Linked DNA regions of Pelodiscus sinensis. The protein of the gene in region 3 purifies or fractionates together with the protein of the main gene of each other region. This does not show direct contact. Links are inferred from orthologs where the notes say so. Each region holds a gene or a part of one and is shown on either strand. Other genes may lie near its edges. The genes, in order: OGDH, DLST and DLD.

Region 1 (7,013 bases), on a different chromosome or scaffold from region 3:
CTCAGATAGTTCAAGACTTGTTTAGTTTATTACTTATGCTTATATGTGTAGGGTTCACTTCACCAGTTTAGCAGCCTAATTTTTCCTTTAATCAGACATTCATTCTCTTAATCCTCTGTTTGTTTGGCTTGGTCCTTGCTTAAGCAAAAAGTGATTCCCAGTCTGTCTTCTGTGACAAGTTTTATTGACTCTTCTGGCTGGTTTGAGGCCAAATTAAGTAGCTTAATCTACAGTGTTTAATGGTCTGTCTTTGTATAGTTTGAATACTGGGTTTATTCTGAATATTTGTAGTCACTGATCTTTCAGTGAAAACAACTAAAAACAGGGAATTGAGGAATTTCTGAGTTTGAGTCCAGCTTTAATGCTTCCTTGTCAACACAGCTGTACATGTGATCAATACATTTGAATACTGTTTTAGTTAAACTGGTTCAGCTTTGTATCTGAACTCTCATCGGTTTACTTTATATCGGCACATTTACAAGCATAGGCTAAATTAATGTATCTAAATATAAACCAATATGAGTCTCCCCAGACAGGCTGTAAGGTGTAACTAAACTGATTCATATTAAACCTGTGCAGCTTCTGAGTATAGACAAGCCAAAGCACTTTATTTGGAATTGGGCAGATCAGTTCTAAGCCAAAACTTTTAAAATATTTACCACTAATACTTTTTTGACACTTCATCTCTTAGGAGCCTAATAGTGGCTTGTGTACATAGGGTTATTCCTGAAAATCTCTACCCATCGACACTTACTTTGGAGCAAAAGTTCTCCGATCCCATTGAAAGTAGATTAAGCTAAACAGGAGCCAAGGCACTCTTGTTCCAAATAAAAGTGCCTATGCTTGGAGTTACTAAAAATAGCTATTGTTTTTCTGTCTCATTCAGGGAGACACTCAGAATCCCTATCAATCCTAAGATATGAAATCAACAGACTTGCATCCCAAAAGACTGAGTGTTTGTTTGCTTCTGTTTTGATGCAAAACCACTGGGAGTCTGTCGAGATCTGACAAGATGTTGGTTTACAGACTTAAGGAAAAGACTAACAGAAATAAGATCACTGGTATTTGTGATGGTAGCAGTAATTATACACAAGTCAGATGTTAATAAACACTTTTAACAATTGTATGCACAGCTGTAGCCCAAGAAGGAATCAATAAAAGATGCCCTATTTGTGAATTGTCTCTGTCACAGATCTGTTGGAAAGAGCTTTCTGATGTTCCTCTAGAAACTGGAGCAATAGCTTAGACTTCAAAAGAAATGAAGGTTGGAAAGACCAAATGAATTTTAACAAATGTTCTCTGAAACTTGAACACCTCTGTTCAGTGAAGCCATGGATGACCAAACTCTCCTACCTCCTCTAAGAGAATCTGTTCCTTCAGTTAGCCCTAAACCTGGGAAAGTCAATAGACTAATAGTTACTGGCCAGTTTTTTAGCCAGAGCATTTGCTATGGAATTGTGCAAAGGCCTCGCACACGCAACAAGCTTGTTACCCAGATGAGCGCTAATTAGAATGCTTAGACTCAACTTTTGCAGGTGTTGAGTTCTCAACAGTCATTGTTCTCAGCATCTTTGAAAGTCATGTCCCAAATGTCTCCAGTTGGACACCAGAATTAGATTACTCCATGAAAAGTTGGTCCATAAGCCTCTCTGAATGGTAACTACCAAGAGGTAGAATCCTAGTGATGACGAGGCAGTGGGTAGTTTTTTGTACAAGTTAGCAGGTTGATTTAAAGTGGGTAGTAGTGTACCGGAGGTTCCCTGATTCCCACAGCTTCCATTGGCCGGGAGCAGCAAACCACAGCCCCTGGGAGCTGTGAGTAGCATGCCTGCAGACACTCAGTAAGCAAACTGCCTTGCAGCCCCCAGCAGCTAACCCTGACCAGCCCGAACCGGAGGCTCCCCACTCCTGATTTAAGGGCTATGTTTTCGCTGCCAAAAAGGGGGTGGAGCAGCAGGTTAGGGTATGTTATCTTGCTGAAGGTAAGACACAGCCATAGACTTGGAGGGACCTTAGGGCTTTTACCTTGATGTACAAAGTCATGTGGGAAACTGCAGCATAGTTATCTTCTCCAGGATTTTACCACCTGTTAAGAACGTACCTTTTCCCTTAGTGAAGTCACAGTGTAGTGCTGTGAAGGGCTTTGAGTGCACAGCAAGGAAGGCACTATACTTCTCTACTCCAGATTGTCCCTCCTTGGTCTGGCACCCTGGAGATCTGACGGGTCCTGGACCAGGGGCAGTCAGTGCCGGCCCCTCTGCTGCCCTGGCTGCAGGGATCTGCTTGATGGCAGCAGAGGGGCTGGCATTGACTGAGCAGGGACTGGGTGGAGGGTGCTCGGCAGAAGAGACGGGGTGGCAGTGTAGCCTTCTCCTGGGCGTCTTGCCTCCTGTCCCCACTTTTCCAGCTCCGGAAGCTTTTGGGAGGACGGGAGGAACAGCTGAGCATTGGGCCTCAGCTTTTCCTCATGAGGGTTCCAGCCCAGGAGCACCCATGGGGATGTCAGGCCAGAGATGGTCTCCGGGTGAGGGAAATCCAGACTAGAGGTGCAGCCTGTAGCACTCCATTGAATTCTGGCCCAAAAGCACCATGGCAGCTCGGTGAGCAATGCAATAAAATTGTAGCTGGAAGAAAAGTGCTGTCCTAGTTAACCAGTTGCAACTCCCAGCCAGCAACTCTCAGCCAGTGCCTATTAAATAGGAAAGGGGGTAATGGAAAATGTTTCCAAGCTGGGTTTATGTAACCAAAGTTGTTTTCTTGCGGTTTTTGCTTATGAAGGAGGGTTGTGCCATCTTCACATGAGGTTGCTGGAGAAAATGTAACATTGAACCCCGTGATCCAGCTGCCAAACAGACCCTGCCAGTTCTCAGCTGGGGATAGGGGCTTTTTATGTCCACTTAGTGGGCTCTCACTGAACAAACTTGTTTGTGTTTTTAAGTAAATGTTTTGTAAACGAAAGGCCGAAACCCTCTCCCCAGCCAGTGTACCAATTCTGGAAGTAGCCTCCAGCTCACATGCCACTGTCCTAGGGCTTTTAAAAGAGACAAACTGCTGGGTATTGTATGGCCTGGTGACGGCTGCTCTGCTGACAGACTGATCCGTAAGTATTCTGTGTGTTATGACGGCATGTAGCTGCACCAATAGCTTGTGCACTGTCACTGACATTTCTTTTTGTTTTTAAAGGGGAGTCAGTGTTCATCTCAAGGACTAGATTTGAAATGTTAATAGGAATAGCTGGGAAGGGGAGCAGAGGTGTAAGGGCCAGATTTTCAGATGTTCCACTTCCATTGGAAAATTTTCCTTTTTTTAAATAGGAAAAAACAACTAAAAAGCACAGGAATTGGCAGAAGGACAAGAAATTATTTGAAGCTTTTTTTTAATTGACTCAATTACAGTACAGGCAGTCCCCGGGTTACGTACAAGATCGGGACTGTAGGTTTGCTCTTAAGTTGAATTTGTATGTAAGTTGGAACTGGTACATATTGTAGGGGAAACTCTAGCCAAACATTTCTCCAGAGCTCAGTTTTATTCTCCCACACCTCACTTCCCTCAGTCCTTTATTCTCAAGCTGAGGTGTCTGCTGAGAAAAGCCGCTCCGCGTCTCCCTGGTCTGCTGGGGGGGGGCGCTAGCTTCGCGTCTCCCTGGTCTGCTGGGGGGAAGCAGCTAGTGCGGGGTTGCCTCACCCCGTTTGTAAGTAGGGATCCGATGCAAGTCGGATCCATGTAACCTGGGGACTGCCTGTACTGTCTCAGCCGAATAAACAGGCATTAGCCATAAGATAGCTTTAGGAGTCTGATTCACTAAGGCTAGGTCTTCACTGCAAAAACCTTGCATTAGTTTTGAGATAGTTGTCTTGCTGTAAGTTCTTAGTGGAGACAAGGTATGGGGAACTTTTACAGCAAGGTGGCTACTTGTGGTCTCCTTCATCTGTCTGCAGTAAGGTACTTTTGGTTTGTGTCCACAGGGATTTAGCATTGAGATGGTCAGATGTCACCTATTTTTTTTCCAGTGAAGACATAGCCTCGGAATCCCAGCCCTCCACTCTTTAAAGGGAAATAGGGCCTTTCCTGGAACCCGCGTCTCTCGCGTTTAGTTGGACAGCAAATCCAAGAAGATATGCTTCTTGTATGTTACGTTTTAATTTTGCATAATAGCTGATAATTTTACTCTGATGGCTTAATGACCTCTTCCTAGTGCACTAGGAGGAATGGCGCACATGTTGTAAAATGCCTGCATATGTTGCGCTGCACGCAAGGGCAACTCTTTCCCTGCCCCGCGTGTTTGGGAGTGAGCAATGTGGACACTAAGAGAACTGCAGGGAGGTGGGAATGGGAACAAAGTTCAGCAGAAGTGCTGCTGAGTGGCAGTCTCAGCATTTTGCCTCCACTGCTTCCAGTGAGTTGCAATTACGCTCTCTTGGGGTGCCTTCCCTGTCAGTAAATCCATTTTCCCAACATCCCCTTTGCTTTTAATCATTCCTACCTCTCCTCTAGCTTTGCTTCTGATGCTCTTTGTCCGCAGCCTACTGACCAGCTTTCTCTGATCACATTTACAGCCTAGTGTTCCCTCCTTTATTCCTGTGCCCCAAGAGGTATAAATGATCAGACCTTTCTCATTTTATCAGCGGTTGTCAGAAAAACGAACATCTGTTCACAATGGAGTACTGCTTGATAAATGTAAAGCTTACAAGTTGATATATTAAACTTCAGTTTTAGGTGATGTAAACTGAAAGCAAAATAGGGGAGAAAAAGTTGCTGTTAGGGTTGGATTTCACTTTCTGCTTTAGTTCCCTACTCCCCAGCCAATTGCAGCCAGTCAGTATGGGAAGGGATGTTAGTGTGTAATCATTTAAATGATTTGATTGATTGATAAGCCTGGTCTTATCTGTTAATTCTAATGACCAGGGCTCGACAAATAATACAATCTACTTGCCTGTGGCGAGTAGATGGTAACCCGGAAGAGCTGGGTTCGGGCGTTCTGCGCATGCGCAGATCGCTGGACAGCGCAGCTGGTGAGCTGGGCTCGCCGCGGTTTGGTGAGCCCTGCTGATGACTACATGCCCCTCGCCCCCAGGTTGCTGGTGGCTCCCCCCATGTATTGGCTCCCCCAGAACTGCCTGGGGTAGGCAGGAGAGAGTGCTTCTCCCCCCGTCTACCCCACATGTAAATGTGTAACAATTAAAAAAAATCCAGTGGTTACATGTTTACGCACGTGTTTGTTAACATCCCTATTGGGGAGTGGAGGGGATTAACCCAAAGGGATACTAGTCCATATCTTAATTCAGTAGTTGTGCAGTGCCAATACCCATACTAAGCTATTGGTTTCAAGTAGCCAAATGAGAAATCTGACTGGAGGAGGGGCAGCGTGGCCTCCTGGATGGAGCGTTGCTCTAGGACATGGGAAACCTGTTACTGGCTCCGCTCTGCTGAGTGACTCTGATTCCAGTCTCAATCTCCATTTTACAGATGGGGAAACAATGTTTGAGAAGGGCTTTGAGATCTGTGGATGAGAAATGCTAAGTAACAGCTAGATGGTTATTGGGTTGATTTCTCTTTGTAAATTGCAAAACAGTTCAATGTCTAAAATGCTTCTTATTCCTATACCAACAGGAGCTTGTGAGCGGCTACAGGACAAAAATGTTTCACTTAAGGACTTGTGCTGCTAAATTGAGGCCGTTGACGGCCTCACAGACTGTTAAGACAATTTCCCAACACAAGCCAGCAGCACCAAGGACGTTCCAGCAAATCAGGTGTTACAGTGCGCCTGTGGCTGCTGAGCCGTTTCTGAGTGGGACTAGTTCGAACTATGTGGAGGAAATGTACTATGCGTGGCTGGAAAATCCCAAAAGTGTACATAAGGTAAGGAGGAGCCATTCGTCCAGGATATTGTTCCTTCATCTCCTGCATGTGTGTGAGAGAGAGTCCAATGGCACAGTCAGGTAAGTGCAGATGTCCGGAAGGAATTCAGCGCAAAGAGCCTGGGAATCACGAATCATCAGTTCCACGTCCGCTTCTGTGGAAAGAACCAACAGTGTTTAATTGAGCAATAGCAAAACAATTCGATCCTGCTTCGTTCTGGATTGAATCCGAGAAGCTCAGAGCATTCAGTCAACTCGGCATGTTCTGCTTTGGGAATCAAAGGTGGATTCAAAGAGAAGAGCTGCCTTTCCTGGGAATCCCCCTCTTGCTGAGCTGCTGCTTTTCCTTTCTGATGGAGTGTTGGGAGAGCAGGGAGGAGGGAATTGGGTTCAAGTTCTGTGCATTCCACTATTAATGTGGGATGCAAATTGTGCTCAGCGCGGCAGTGTTTGATCTCCTGTGAGTAAGTATGCTGGCTCTGCTGCAGAGTCGTTCTTCCAACACCACTTGGGTGGCAGAAATGTGGGTATAAAATCCTCTGCTGTGGTTAGCAGAGCTCTTTCTACCAGCCATTCCTTAACTTTTCCTCAAGCTACTAACTTCAGAAGATAATTATTCTAAGGGTTACAAGTGTAAAATTCTAGTGAGCTTTAGTCTATCCAGAGCTGGTATCCGATAGCATACCACCTTGAAATCTGTCACTAACATGCATGTGTTGGGTTAATGGCCATCACACACAATCACTTTGGCCATGGTCCGTGGTAGATTAAGTTTACAAGTTTCAGTACAGTATTCAACCCTATACAAACGCGTGCAGCTCTGTTTAGCATAATTGTCTCATAAATCCCTCTTAGCGGGGCTGAATTTGGACCACAGGAAGTAGTCTGTTGGCTAGTAATTGCCAGGAGCCATTACCAAGCAAAGTGTCACTGGAAGTCTGAGGAGTAACTGTATGAAGTTAATAATAGACATTGAACTAGCTCTGCTATTGCTGTACACTAGACAGTCTTACAGTTAGAGGGTGAAATTAAAAACCTCCACTAGGAAGGAATGCTTGGTGGGGCCAGGAGGTGATCTTCAGCCTCATGTCTAAGGGAAGCTTGCGGAATTGTAGACTTAGCTGCTTTCCCGTCTCATCTCTGGGCAAGCTTTGG
Region 2 (8,007 bases), on a different chromosome or scaffold from region 3:
AATGTCTGAACAAACAACTAATATTGTCATACCCTTCACAGGAAAGTAGGAGCCTGAACAGGAAGCAAAATCTATAGATCTAGCAAACTGACTGTAGCACTACGAATCTCTTAACTTACACTTCCCCAGATCAAGCTACCAATTAATTTAATCTTTCCCTACCTTCACATAACTTCTCAGAACCATTCAACATGCTGGAACCAGTCTATCACCAAAGGCATCCCCTATATATTTAACCATCTCCATACTATCTTTTAGGGAAATGCCACTCATGACATTTGAAAAGTCCCCCTATGGAATACGGAAGATGACTGTAGGCATGCTGTGTGTCCTCAGTCCTATACTGGAAACAAGAGCCAGTTCAGATAAGAGCATTGAGAGAATAGAATCACGCTGGGCAAAGCCAGTTTCACGGCTCCAAGCACAACTTCCAATAGACAAAGGGCTGGAAAGCTTTGGAAGTGGCATGACAGACCAATCACTCTGTGGCAAAGACTTCTGCACACACATAGGAAATAGTGGAAGAACTGCTTACAGCAGAGAGGGCTGCTGCATTGACAGAGAGGGCTGCCAGTGTAACCCATTGCTGGAAACAAGAGAACCAAGTATTTCAAATTACTCATTGATTTCAACAATTAGTAATTATACACATCAGGTAGATAGAGAAGGAGACAGGTGCTAAGATGCAATGCAGACGGTAATGCTGAGCAGACAGAAGATATCGTTACCAAACTGGCAGCCTGACCTGTTCTCGAATTCCCTGCCAATCTCCCCACTAACTTTTATGATCCTTTCTTTCCTAAATATATCCCAAAGGTCTCATTCACTGTGAATTCTGCTGTTTTCAGTGTTGTAAACTACACTCTTTCTTTGGACCCTTTCCTCTGAGGGCTTCTGGGGCCCTCCTCTCTGTTCAACCCCTCTATAGGTAGTAATTCTCCTCACTTTTGTGCCCAATGGCAGTAGTAAATGGCCTTCTCTTCCTCCTCTCTCAGCACTTGTACATGATTCCTATGTTGGCAACTCATCTCTTGTCTTCAATCCCATAATGCTGCTTGTCTCTTCAAATTCTCTTTCTGCATATCTTCTTTCTTCCTCACATATCAAAACGCCAACACTTTTCTTCCTTCTCCTTATCTCTATTCCTGCTGACCACTCCCCTATCTTCCTAGTCACTCAAGCCCACAGACCTGAGGGTCATCCTCGTCTTCTCTTCTCTCCTCCTGCCATTAGATATCCACCAAATTCTGGCGAGTCTCCCTCTGCATTTCCAAAATCTGCTTCTTCCTCCTTATTCTCAATGTCAAAACTTTTTGTCTATGCCCTATTATCTCTTGCTTGATGACCACTACTTCCTTGGCCTTCTTACCCAAACACAAACATTTCTCAATTGATTTCACAGCTAATTCTACATCAAGTAGAAATGCCTTGTCCTTGCTATCATCTTTCTGCCCTAATTACACACTCATTACTGAGGTACCCAATTGCTACTTCTTGGCTGTGTCTAGACTGGCAAGTTTTTCCGCAAAAGCAACTGCTTTTGCAGAAAAGCTTGCTAGCTGTCTACACTGGCCGCTTGAATTTCTGCAAGAACACTGACAATCTCATGTAAGAAATCAGTGCTTCTTGCGGAAATACTATGCTGCTCCCGTTCCGACAAAAGTCCTTCTGCGCAAAAGGGCCAGTGTAGACAGCTCAGATTTGTTTTGCACAAAAAAGCCCCGATCGCAAAAATGGCGACTGGGGCTTTTTTGCGCAAAAGCGCGTCTAGACTGCCACAGACCCTTTTCCGCAAAAAGCGTCCGTGCCAATCTAGACACTCTTTTCCGCAAATGCTTTCAAATGGAAAACTTTGCAGTTAAAAGCATTTGTGGAAAATCATGCCAGTCTAGACGAATCCCCAGTCTTCTGCTACATTTCCATTTATATTTTGCCAATTTCTCCCCATAACAAAGCTTCCCACAATACAGTTTTTGAAACAGAGATCATTCTTTAGGTGCCTGTAAAGTTTTATGAACACTTAAGGTGCTGTCAAAATTACTTGCTTCTCTAGATTAACAATACCAATGCAAGTCGCATAAACCAGATAGAAAGCTGTCACAAGGATGGTATATGTGTACCAAAGAGACTGTGTTTTAGGAGATACATATTAGGAGAGCAGAATATGAGTGGGTATAAAAAAATCCTGGTATCAGACAGCTACAAAGATGTTTACGGTGGCATAGCTGTCTTTCTGTTTATTCCATGTAGGATGACCTCCTGATAGTAGAGCTGACAATAGGCTGTCCTTGTAACTCCTCCTCAGGAGGGCTCCAGCACACAGCTTGCAACAGTTGCCTGCCCAAGAATAAGAGCCACAAGGATGGTATTAGGGAGTTCTGAGGGCAAATGCTGGGCAGGCTATCAGGCTGCAGTTGAGGCGGCCCTGCTTGCCCAACCGGTGCTGTCTCTGGCTATGCTCAGGACCTATTCCATCAGCCCCATCCTGCAGGGTCTGGACTCAAATAGCCCTCGCCATTCGGGACTCCGGCTTTAGACTGGCAGGCGTATCCTTGGGGCGCGGGGTTTCCCTCAGCTGCCACTCCCCACGCCAGGCCGGTCCACGGACAGACCTCACAAGGGATTTGCTCCGAGGGGGGGGAGGGGAGGATCTGAGGCAGCGCCCTGTTCGCCGGGGCCCCAGCTTGGGGCACGGCTTGTGGGACACGTTCCCCTGAGGCTCGCGGTGCGCACGGCGGGTGCGCAATGGGGGTCCCACGAGGGAGCGGCCCGCGGGGGACCGGGCGCAGGAGTTTCTCCAGGAGTCGGCCCAGAACGGGGACGTGACACCGCGTCCCGGTGCCCTTGGCGCTGCTGCCCGTTCGTCCCTTCCGCTCCCGCCCCCGCCCCCGCCCCGGGCGGTACCTGCCGGAGCGCGCAGAGTGAGCGGCCAAGCGCCCCGCTCAGACAGCGGGACCGGGACAATAGCAGCATCGCGGCGGCGGCAGCGACGGCAGGAGCAGCCGGAGGGCGGACACCGGAACCAGGCCCGGCACAGGGCGGAAGCGGGCCGGGGCGGACCAACCTCGGGCGCATATGCGGGGGGGGGGGTGTGTCACAGGGGATCGTACCAACCACGGGGCTGGGGACGCAGACAGTGAATTCTCCTAAGGAGCAGCACGAGTGCACCCGAAGAGCAAAGCTGGTGGGAGCAGAAGGGAATGGCGGAAGGAATGAACCACCCCGAGGCGATGGGGGGGGGCGTGAGGACTGAACCACCCCGTGGGGTCTCATGAAGTGGGGCTGAACCGCCCTGTTGCATGGCAGTGGGGGCAGAGCCGCGCTCAGGACAGGACCTCAGAGAACACCCGGAAGCGGCGTGACACCCGCAGGGTGCACCGAGCGGAAAACGTGCCCCACCCTGCCCCAGTCCAGACGTCTCGCTCCGGCTCAGTACTCACAAGGCTGGTGTCGGCAGTGGGATAGGAGGAGGGTTTGATGGAGGAGGCGGGGCCAGTATATAATGAGCCGTTGTGCGAGAAGCAGGCAGATGCGCTGGCATGGTTGGTAGAGTAGAGGGCTGGGAGGGTGAATCAAGGAAGGGCAGAGAAGCTATTCAGATGAGAACAAGGAATTGGAACCTGATGAGGAATGACAGTGGGGGAGCCCTTACAAGGGTGCAGAGATGGATTCTGTGGTCAGTGACTGGCCATGAAGGTGATCTTGGCACTTGTAATTTGAATGGACCAGAGGATGCAATATGGGTGTCAGAGAAGATGAAGTTATGGCTAGGAGGATGGGAGATAAGGGAGTCACAGAACTGAACGAAGTAAGGGTAAAGCTCATCTGTTCAGAAGACAGAGTATTCGCAGGGGCCAATCCAAGGCTGTGTCTAGACTGGCAAGTTTTTCCAGAAAATCAGCAGCTTTTCTGGAAAAACTTGCCAGCTGTCTACACTGGCCACTTGAATTTCCGGAAAAGCACTGACGATGTCATGTAAAATCATCAGTGCTTTTCCGGAAATACTATGCTGCTCCCATTCGGGCAAAAGTCTTTTTCCGAAAGACTTTTGCCCAAAAGGGCCAGTGTAGACAGCATAGTCCTGTTTTCCGCAAAAAAAGCCTCGATCGTGAAAATGGCGATTGGGGCTTTTTTGCGGAAAACCGCGTCTAGATTGGCCACGGACGCTTTTCCGGAAAAAGTGCTTTTGCGGAAAAGCATCCTGCCAATCTAGACACGCTTTTCCGAAAATGCTTTTAACGGAAAACGTTTCCGTTAAAAGCATTTCTGGAAAATCATGCCAGTGTAGACGTAGCCCAAGAGTATAGTACATACTCTCAGGATTGAGACCCCCACAAACCTCACCACCTTTCATTCCAAGTTCTTACAATATTCTTTAAACAGAAATACCCTGTGCCCATCATTCTCACATACTATAGCTCATAGGCTGTGGGAAAGAGAAAGATCCACACATGACTGATGCTAGTCACTCTGCTGATGTAACTCACACACCTGCTAGGTTTGGTGTACTGTCCCACTTAGTGGTACTGAGACCACTTACAGAAGGAGTGGGAAACCTAAGGCAACCAGCTTACCTGTATCTGGCTCCTGAGGCTCAGGGCTCCCCCCCCCCCCCCCCCAAAGCAGGCTGATTAAAGTTGCTATAATCCTCTTTGTTTTCTCCTGCTAAAATCACACTAGTGACAGCTACAGTAAATTACTTTCTGGACATTACATTTGATATAAATAAATGTTTCAGTTGCCACAGGCATGTTACCTGGATAGAAATAGGAGGTCACCTGCACAACTGGAAATGGCAAGAAAGGAGCATGAAACAGCTTCCTCTTAACATGAGGTGAATGCTACTACAAAGTTTAAGAAACTCTGTACTAAACCTGCAATAGTCTGTGATCCTGTAATTAAAAACTGCATTGTAATGAGGCATCTGTTCCAAAAGGGAAAGTAAAGATTGAGTGTACATCCATAATTAAGGCTTTTCATAACTTTTGAGCATCTATGTAACCATAATACTCTGCAAAGAATTTTGCAGGGAATTTCCTAGGAATTTTTTAAAGGAAAAATATTAGAAAAATCAATAAGAGACATTCTCCAATACTTTGAAACTCTGCTGGCATGTAAACAAAAAGGAAATAGAGCCCTAGGGATGTTAAATTTAGTTTAATCAACTAATCAACTAGTCGATAGATTTTCCATTGATTAGTCAATAAGTGGGGGAGCAGCAGTGGGGTTAGCTCCCTGCCCTGGAAACTAACCCCTCTGCAGCTCTGCCTTTTAAATGTATTAAGAGCCTCTTGGCTCTTAATACATTTAAAAGACTGAAGTGCAGCAGGGGGGACCCTGCGTGAGCTGGGACAGCTGATTCCCGGTTCGTGCTGGGTCCCCTCCCGTGTCTTAATACATTTAAGAGCCCTCCCTACCGGCTCTTAATACATTTAAAAGGCTGGAGCTCAGCAGGGGACCTGGCACAAGCTGACAATCAGCTGGTCGGGCTTGCGCTGGATCCCCGCTGCTGCACTTCTGATTTTTAAAGTATGAAGAGCCAGGTGGCTCTTAATACATTTAAAAAGCAGAGGCACAGCACCCGGTCCCCACTATCCCCCTGCTTCCCCTGCCCCTTGCAGAGACAGTGCTGGGGGGAACCAGCTTTTAAACCAGCTCCCCCCAGCCCTAGGTCTGCCCCTCTTGCTGCCTCTATCAGAGGCAGCAAGTGGGGGGAAAGCAACTAGTTGAGGGACTAGTTGACTACCCAATAAGCTTTTGCTTAGCAGATAGTCGACTAGTCATTTATATCCCTAAGATCTTGTAAAGTGCCAAATCTAGAACTTTTTCAGTTATTCTTCACTGGAATGCTGCTGTCCTTGAGCAAGACACTGGAAAACAGCTGTCCTTAACAAAAGATTCCTGCCTAACAGGAAAAAAATATGCATGGTAGGCTTTCATTAAACATCTCTCTAAGTATCTGGAGGGAAATTAGAAAAATAAAAAATTTACTTAGAGTTGATTAATTCAGCTGAGCAGGTGAATTCAGTCTGGTTCCAGGGAAAATCCATCCTCAGCAGAGCCGTCCATCAAGATAGCTAGTTACAAAGATGACATCATCTAAACAAGCTTTCATTGGTTAATCACATTGTTCCATTAAGGAGAGGTGAAAGACTCTTTAGTCACTCTTTGCTATCCATTCCTGAGGAAAGGTAGATTATTTCCCACAGAATACTTACTTCCAGTTCTGAGAGCAGGAAGAAACTTACAAGCTACTGTGGACTACTGGTTCAAATTTCTAAAGTTACTGTTTGCAAAGTGCTTTAAAAATGTAAAATACTAAGTACAATTATTTGTTACTAGGGTTTGTCAAGTGATTTAAAAATTAATCATGATTAATCATGAGATTACAAAATTAACTGATTAATTGTGCTGTTAATAATAGAATATAATTTATGTAAATATTTTGGATGCTTTTCTACATTTTCAAATATATTGATTTCATTTACAATACAGAATACAAAGTATACTTAATATTATCATTTTTATTATAAATATTTTCATGTAAAAAGATAAACAAAATACATTTTATTTATCAATTCACCTCTTAAAAGTATTATAGGGCAATCTCTTTATTGTGAAAGTGCAAGTTGCAAATGTAATTTTTTTTGACACGTAACTGCAAGCAAAATCAAAACAATGTAAAACTTTAACACCTACAAGTCCACTCAGTCCTAATTCTTGTTTAGCCAATCACTAAGACAAATACGTTTGTTTACATTTATATGGGAGATAGTGCTGCCCACCTCTATTTACCATGTCACCTGAAAGTGAGAACAGGTGTTTGCATGGCACTTTTGTAGCTAGCTTTGCAAGCTATTTACATGCCAGAGATGCAAAACATTCATACACCCCTTTCATGCTTTGGCTACCCTTCCAGAGGGCATACTTTTAGGCTGATGGCAATTGTTAAAAAAAGTATTAATTAAATTTGTGACTGAACACTTTGGGGAGAATTCTATGTCTCTTGCTCTATTTTACCTGCATTCTGCCGTGTATTTCATGTTACCAGACCAGGTTCAAGCTCCAAAATCCTCTAAGATGTTGCTGTCTTCCCATCTTCATTATTTCTATGTTTTTATATTGCAGTGCAATCCTGTTTTGTTTAGCTTTGCAGGAGAACAAAATCTTCTCTATTAGGACTCTTCTGACACAGAGGTGCCCTCTTTTTTGCCCCCCCCCCCCATTCTCATATGGCCCAAGAGAGATGCTGTCAGCCAGCCTCAATATTGTCACAGAGCTCCTGAAACCTTCTGAACTCTCTCTAAGATGGTGTCTAGAGAATTATCACAATCAGAAAGGCATTGCTCTCATGTGCAGCAGTGCATTCCTCACCAGGTACAATATAGGAGATTTCATCTTCTGCTGAAACACAGCAGGTGTCATACTAGTCTAGAGGAATTGTTGGTGTGAACTGGCATAGCAGAGGTGAAATTCTGAGTGAAAATTACAGATTGTGGTATTAGGGACTGTGCCATTCAGGGCTGAGCTAAGATGCGGGGAAGCCCTTGTTCCATTCCTGCTCTCACTGCTCATCCCTGCCCCAACGATCTGCTCCTGTACCATTCTATCTTGATCTATGGCAGCTCGTGTTCCTCCTGTCTTAGCTGCCTCAGACATAGCTCTGTCAATGCATAGATATCCTGACCTGTAACAAGTTAGAACCTAGAAGCTAATGCACAGAGCTCTTTATGCACTATCTTTATGGTCCTATCTGAAAAGCAGACTTCACATATTAAAGACTCTCTGAACAGCTGACTTTCTGTGGTCCCCAGTGGCCCAGCTGCAGATACAAGGTCTCCCTCCCTGATCCCAGGCTCTGTCTGAACCTGACCTCTTCTTCTCTCATTTGCATATTCAGAAGCACTTGAAGCTGGTTGGCTGCTATTGGCTTTCCCATCCCTTTCTTTAGCAGGGACAAAGCTCAGAGGTTTCCTCAATGCCCCTGCCAGTGCTTCTGTGCTTCTT
Region 3 (7,206 bases):
GGGATGAGCTAGGGCAACTCAACTTTGGAAGCCCCAGGGACCACACTGATACTTACAGAACATGCTGAGGGCCTCAACTTAAGTGTGGTTGCATATGCAAGCAAATATATACAAATAGCTTTTCTCACACTAACAGGCATGAATACAAAGATTAAGGCAAGACTACACAACACACAGACCCCATTTAAGTCAGTTCTGCTGATATTAATAAAATTCAATATTTACCCGATTTCTACCATGTGACAGCACTTTTAATGAGCAATGACAGTCCAAGAATTTAACTACTAAAACGCATATCAGCAGAAGATCATTACACTGATTACTTTTTTGTTTTGGCTCCCACTCGCCAGCCACGTGTTGATCCCCACATAAACCCAAACTGCACTGCGAGGCACAAACAAACTGGCCATGGGCAGCATACTAAGTTATTAATAAATATTTTTAAACCTTTACCTTTTCTCTCTGCTGCCATGTCTCCTCTCCTTGCTCCATCATCTCCCCTGGTGCCTGCTGCCCCCCAACTCCTCACCCTCCTCTGCTGTCCTGACTCCTGCCCTTCTCACTGCCCTCAGCCCTCCTGCAACCTGCCCCCCTCCACCAGCCCTTCATTCCCCCCTGTGCCCAATCCTCCAGTAACCCCACTATGATCAAGTGAGCTACGCCTCCTCATCCCCTCTTCCAACACCTCCATCTACACACCTGTCCTGCCTCTCTCCTCTGGTGCTGGTCCCTCCCCTGCAGGTGTCTACCCTTCTGCTTCTCCCCAGAATCCTCTGGCACCTGCACCTTCCCTTAGCCCTGCACCCTCCTGGTGCCTCCCCTTTCCCTTACTGCCCCTGTCCCCTTTGCCCTCTTTTTCCCTGATGCCTACCCCCTCACCGCTCTCTGCCCCATTACCCTCCTGCCCCTCTGTACCCTCACACATGACTTGCTCCATCCCCACCTTTCTCATGCCCACCCCTTCTTCCAGCACCTCCCCCTTCTCCTCTAGCCCCCAATGCCCTTCCCCTCTCCTCTCCCAGCATCACCCTGTCCCCCCTCCCACTGACACCTCCTCTCCTGCTCTTTTCCTCATTGTCTGAATTTGGCCCCCTGCCATTTGTCTCTTGGTGCCTTCCCCTTTCTTCCCCCCCCCTCCACAAGCTCCTTCCCCTTCCCCTCCCCACAAGCACCTTCCCCTTCCCTTCCCCTGCTGAACAAGCCCCTTCCCTACCTTCTGCCTTCCATGTTGTGGGGCTGGAGTCTGTGCTCAGGCCCCAGAGTCCAAACCTGGAGGCAGCCACGCAATGTGTTTCCGAGGACTTTTAAAATCCTGGGCATGACGTGACGTCACGCCTGGGCCCCGCACACCTACAATGCCGCACATGGCAACAGCAGGTGGCGAGGGAGAGCCGCGCATGGCAGGGACGGTCCGGGGCTGAGGGGGACGCTCTGGGGGCAAGGTGGGAGAACGCGCGGGGGGTCCGGGGCCCGCTCCAGGCAGAGCCGGGGGAGAGACCCAGCTCCACATATTGGTGCAGCAGGCCCCCCCTCCCCCCGGCTCTGAATTGTAACGCCGGCTGGCACTTCCAGGTTCAGGGGCGCAGGGCCCCCTTAGGTGCGGGGCCCGATTTGACTGAATCGGTCGAATTGGCCTAAGGCCGGCCCTGTTCCCAGCCAATGGGAGTGCAGAGCTAGTGCTCAAGGCAGGAGCCGTGTGTGGAGCCCTGTGTGCCCCCCTCCCACCTAGGAGCCAGGCCTGCTGCCAGCTGCTTCTAGGGCACAGCACAGTCTGCAGTGCCAGGACAGGCAGATAGTCTGAGTTAGGACCCCCATTCGTCTCTTGATCCCACTGCAGCAACAAGTAGGGTTGCCAGATAGTTTCAACAAAAATACTGGACACACTTGACATTACATCACAATCTACATTACATCATATTTAGAAAATACCGGACATTTCTATTTTCTCATTTCTATTTTCTCAATTTGTTTCCCGAACAGAAAGCTCAAATACTGGACTGTCCGGTTCAAAACCAGATACCTGGCAATCCTAGCAATGAGACCCAGTGTCTGACATTTTATGACCTACTACTGGGTTGTGACCCGTAGTTTGAAAACCACTGCTCTAGGGTACCTCCTTCTTCGCAGGGCAAACACCAGCCATGGCGCTTCCCAACCAAGGATTCCTCTTGGCCAGCGGTGGGCAACCTGTGGCCTGCAGGCTCCATGAGGCCCACTGGGGTTCCACCTGTCTGTGGACCCTCTGTCTGCCCCCCTCCCACACGTATCTTTCACTCACTGGGGCACTGGAGCCTGCACTTCCTATTTCTCCTCCTCCCTCCCAGCACTTTCAGAGCACAATGAATCATCTGATTTGCTCTTCATCCCCACTCCTCCCCCTACCTCCCAGAGCTTGAATGCCATAAATTACCGTAGCTGTTCTCAGCTGTTCAGCTGCTCTGGGATGGAGGAGAAGAAGTGGGGACAGAGAATGAATCAGGCTGACTCGGGCTTACTTGGGCAGCTCTTGGTCAGCTGCGCTACGGCAGACTGCTACGTGTATGCATGTCCTGGGGTACCGTGCTGCATCCTGGAAGTGGCCTGCGGGGAATTGGCCAGTACAGCAGGTCCAGGTCCTAGAGTGAGCACATGATGTTCCCTTCCACCCCCTCTGCTTAGGAGCCAGACCGGCTGTGTTGGACACATCCCTGTTGGCCCCAGCACAGAGCTGCCCCAGCTTGGTGAGAAGAGCCCCCAGCACAGAGCAGCTCCAGAGAGTGGAGCAGTGCCTCTCCCTGCCAGTCCCAAGAAAGAGCTGCCCATGGCACAGCTGTTTAAGGCTGGGGGAGAGGCACCTTTTCCCGTTATGGCCCTGAGCCCCTGCATGATGCTTAATGGGAAGCTGCGCAACTGCGCAACTTAGTAGGAAATTGAAACATCTCAGGCTCTCCACTTTGAATAATCATGAATCACTATGCCATGAAAGGAAGGTGATGAGGGGGAAGAAGAAAAAGGCCCTTTAAAAAGAAGGCTTGAAACTGAAGTTTTATCCAGAACTCAAGAGACAGTTTCAATGGTGGGAGGCTATCTGTGAATGCTAGATCTACCCTCCCCCCATGACTAGGGCGTACGCTGGGGAACTGTTCAAAGGCAAAAGGTAACTGGTATTAGAAAAGGGATTTATCTAGTATAGAAATGTAAAACCTGAAATTGTGACAATGTTTTGTTGCTGTGTAACTTGAATATGTAGGCGATCCCTAAGACATCACAACAGCCCAATGAAATGTCTCTGAGGCAAGAAAGAGAATAATGTGCCTCCATCAGCTCACCCTGCTCCTGTCTCCAATTCACCCAATCTTTGCCCTTGTCCAGTGCATAGATTCCAGCCCCCTGTAGAGCGCAGAGGATGGGATGACAGTAACGTGATAGTGACTGACATAGTGTGCAGAAGGCGTGAATGTGCTCTGCACAGAAGGTGCCATCTTGGAAGGAATGATGCAGCTCCTTTAACATTATATTTGTGGCACCTGCCATCCTACCTACAAGAACTATGCAAAGCCCTAGTCTCCTTGGCCCTGTAGATCTGGTTTTAAAGAAAATGTATTTCCCCCACCAATGTTCACTCACTTCAAAATACCACAGAGAGATTTTAACCTTTGCTCCTGGAGGGCTCTGAAATCTATGGCAAGATAGTGGCTGTAGGAAGCTGTATTGCAACTCTCCTGTACAGTTAGTTTACAGTTTATTAGGTGATGAGCTTTCATGGACCAGACCCACTTCCTCAGATCAAACTGTGGAAGAAAATAGGCATGACCATATATACCTATTATGCCTATTTTCTTCCACAATTTGATCTGAGGAAGTGGGTCTGGCCCCCCGCAAGCTCATCACCTAATAAACCATCTTGTTAGTCTTTAAAGTGCTACATTGTCCTGTTTTTTGTTTCAGCTAGACTAGACTAACAGGGCTACATCTCTATTACTCTTGTACAGCCTGCTGCATGGAAGGAGACACTCAGCTGAGCTGCAGCAGCCCCCTCCAGGCAGGGCCTATTGCTAGGCCTCGGAGCGTTCAGACATATCTGCATAGCCACGCCCACTATGGCTAGCCCTGCCAACCCGCTGCGCCTGCAGACCTCCTCTGCCAGGGGGCAGTGTTGTGCCCTTGCGCGGGGCTCAGGCGACGCCGCTCGGTGACAGCGTCGTTGTCCGCTCGCGGGCCTAGTGCGCCTGCGCGAGTCCGCGGAGACCTTGGAGGCGCGGCTGCCAGGCCTGAGGCGCTCGGACGGGGGTTAAACCTGAGGCGGCCGGAAAATGCAGAGCTGGAGCCGGGTCTGCTGCGCGCTCGCCCAGGTAGCCGCGCGGGCGGGGAGCGGCGCTGGGACACGGCCACGGCCGGGGGGCCGCTCTGGGGCTTGGGCCGGGCCAGCGGGCACCGACCGTCCCCGCCTTGGGCGGGGCGCGCAGACTGACCCCTCCTTGGGGGGGGAGGGATGCGGCCTGGCCAGGGACCTCGGGGCTTGCGTGGTGCCCGCGTCCCCGTGAGTCCTTCCCGCCACTCCGCGCCGGGCAGCGGGGGTCTCCGTGCCTGGTCCCCTGCCCCCACGGACCCTGAGCCAGGCAGGGGGCTCTTGGTGTCTGGACCCCCTCCCCGGTCACCACGACCCTGAACCAGCGGAGGGGTCTTGGTGTGTGCCCCCCCCCCCCCGTCCCCTGTAACCAGTGTTCCCGCTAACCTTTCCCTCCCTGTGCAGAATACATTTGTTTCGTGCGCCGAGGCACGTGCAGATGTGCAGCCCTAGTACAAACACATGCGACTGGCTGTGGGGCGCTGCTAATCAGTTGGGCGGCATTTGACTTTCTCCTGGGCGGCAGCCCACGTGCACAGTTTACAGGGAGCACTGCCTGTAACTCTGATCTGGCCTGCTTGGTGCTTGTGTGTGACCCTAACAGCTCCTTGGGTGCAACTGGCAAAGGGCTCTCGGTTCTGTAATGATGATGCTTGTCCCCACTGACAGACTCATTACACCTAACATTTCACCATCACTGTATTTATCTACAAAGAATGTTGCATGAGATATTAAATCAAAGCCAGGATCATGGTGGTCCTTAATACCATTATGAATTGTATGGAATACATTTTAAAAATTGTCTGTCTACTGAAAATATATCTTATGGTTGATGTCAAGGTACAAGTCCCCAGAGGAGATGGAAAAACTGGTTTTGCCGGTCAAATTGATGTATTTGCCTTTAAGTCATACAATATATAGATTAAGCGTAGTAAAACAAACACAGTGTCAGCTACATTTTTCAAGTTAATTTGAGGATATGAAGACGAGTTGGGGCCAGCACACGGGAGAACAAATATTGGGTAGGTGACGATAGGCAATTCTGAGTTTGGAGTTGAAACAATGAGATTTGGGAGACAAAAGAGAAGCGAAGCCATTTCGGTGATTATTCACAGAGGAAACCCCTTGAGGAGGCGAATGGAGCTATTCATGAAAACTTGGATCCTGGTTTTGCCAGATAACCAGCAACTTTATCAAGGACTCAGTTCTTGGGAGCAGACCTATTTTATTAAAGAGGAAAGGATTATGTTTGATTGTTTTCACTATAAATATACTTTAGTGCTGTAATGTTATATAGTACCTTATCCTGTGTTGTACCAGTCAAGATGTGTATACACTGTCTCTTTGGGCACAGCTTAATCAGTAATAACTGAGGCCTTATCTACACTTACTGGAAGATCGGTACTGCGGTGATCGATCTCCTGGGGCTTGATTTAGTGGGTCTAGTAAACACCTACTAAATCGACTGCTGATCATGCTCCCATCAACTCGAGTGGACCAATGGGAATCAATGGGAGAGTTTCTTCCTCACCCTCTGGTGCCCCCACCCCTGCCACAATAACTTGAACTAAAGTATGTTGACTCCAGCTGTCGTTCAGGTAGCTGGCATTGCGTACCTTATTTCGACATGGTTCCCTCTTGTAGACCTTGCCTGAGTGTCCAGTGATGGGATGGATACTGCAGGGAGCACTTGGGACACAGGAGGGGGAGATGTTGGTGTGTCCCTAGCACTAGCCTTTACAGAAAGGGTGAGGTCTACGTAGCAGGTCTACGTAGACCTGGAGGCTTGTGCTTGTGGGCCCAGAGGCAGTTAGTTTCAGGAAGCTGTGTCACAGGAGCCATAGATAAGGCTGATTTACACTAAGGACAGATAGTAGTGGTGTGTTGCCTTACACAGCCTTGGGTAATCCTGAAGCATGTCACAGTGTGCTGCTTCCACTCCCAGTGCATGGAGGTGGGCAGAGGGGCTCTTGGAGCCTGTTTCTTATGCCTCACTTCCCAATGCTCTGAGTTGTGCAAGAGATTTCAGTGCCTACTGTTTGTGTTCCTTGAAGGCTCTCCTGTTCATCTGTGAGTCCATTTTTCAAGAACTCTTCCTAAATGATAAGAGCTAGGGCCACCAAATTTGGCATGCAGCTTTCTCGTATAAATTAAAGCAAGGTCAGGGTTTGGTTGTGCCAGGATAATGGGATGTGCGTGGAATACGATTGTTTTCATCATATGAAAAGGTAGAGATGTAAGAACAGAGACGGTTTTATTCACAAATAACTACAGGGGGGTAGCAAGCACCCCAGTTCTGGGGAGCTGCTGCTGGCTGGCAGCACAACCCCTGCCATTCTGGCCTGTCCCCAGGAGTAGCTGCTGGCCATGGTGCAGCCTTCCTTCCCCCGGTCCCCTGGGCCAGCCCCAGGAGAAGCAGGCAGGCAGCCTGTGCCGGACTCCTCTCCCCGCTCCATTCTTAGGCAGCATGATCCAGACAATGCGGGGTAAGTATTCTAGTGTGTTTATATAGGTTTTGTTTTATAGCAATTACAATATCGGTTGCCTATCTAGTCTGAACATCTTCTCCAACAGCCATTAGTACCTGATGCTCAGAGAATGTTACAAGATAACATACAGTTAACAGATGATGATAAGGGGTTTTCTTAATCCTTGCAATTCGTGGCTGGTTTGATCTGCGAAGCAACTTTTGGTTCTGTTGTTTTAGATGTAATGCATGCATGTGGTAAAAACTATTGCCTGCCCTGAAGATCTTACAATCTAAGTGGACAAAATAAAGATTGGAATAGAAACAGAGATACACAAGATGAAAGCACAACAGGAAGCACAACAGATTAGTGGCAGAGCTAAGTTTTCTGTATACCACAGCAGTGCGTTAT

What was found.
Region 1: the proteins of DLD (region 3) and OGDH purify together in Homo sapiens (affinity purification with mass spectrometry; 3 studies listed by BioGRID and IntAct, counting the BioPlex papers as one, with this or other methods). This does not show direct contact. The link is inferred for Pelodiscus sinensis from reciprocal best matches to the Homo sapiens genes DLD and OGDH.
Region 2: the proteins of DLD (region 3) and DLST purify together in Homo sapiens (affinity purification with mass spectrometry; 3 studies listed by BioGRID and IntAct, counting the BioPlex papers as one, with this or other methods). This does not show direct contact. The link is inferred for Pelodiscus sinensis from reciprocal best matches to the Homo sapiens genes DLD and DLST.

Annotation. Positions count from the first base shown.
Region 1 is NC_134738.1:4,939,991-4,947,003, reverse strand, and holds the start of OGDH (2-oxoglutarate dehydrogenase complex component E1), read left to right. Parts: upstream 1-3,997; 5' UTR 3,998-4,117; coding exon 4,118-4,126; intron 4,127-5,610; coding exon 5,611-5,859; intron 5,860-7,013. UniProt on the Homo sapiens protein: 2-oxoglutarate dehydrogenase (E1o) component of the 2-oxoglutarate dehydrogenase complex (OGDHC). Participates in the first step, rate limiting for the overall conversion of 2-oxoglutarate to succinyl-CoA and CO(2) catalyzed by the whole OGDHC.
Region 2 is NC_134714.1:44,204,343-44,212,349, forward strand, and holds the start of DLST (dihydrolipoyllysine-residue succinyltransferase component of 2-oxoglutarate dehydrogenase complex, mitochondrial), read right to left. Parts: upstream 3,062-8,007; 5' UTR 2,974-3,061; coding exon 2,905-2,973; intron 1-2,904. UniProt on the Homo sapiens protein: Dihydrolipoamide succinyltransferase (E2) component of the 2-oxoglutarate dehydrogenase complex. The 2-oxoglutarate dehydrogenase complex catalyzes the overall conversion of 2-oxoglutarate to succinyl-CoA and CO(2).
Region 3 is NC_134711.1:27,156,468-27,163,673, forward strand, and holds the start of DLD (dihydrolipoyl dehydrogenase, mitochondrial), read left to right. Parts: upstream 1-4,172; 5' UTR 4,173-4,292; coding exon 4,293-4,331; intron 4,332-7,206. UniProt on the Homo sapiens protein: Lipoamide dehydrogenase is a component of the glycine cleavage system as well as an E3 component of three alpha-ketoacid dehydrogenase complexes (pyruvate-, alpha-ketoglutarate-, and branched-chain amino acid-dehydrogenase complex).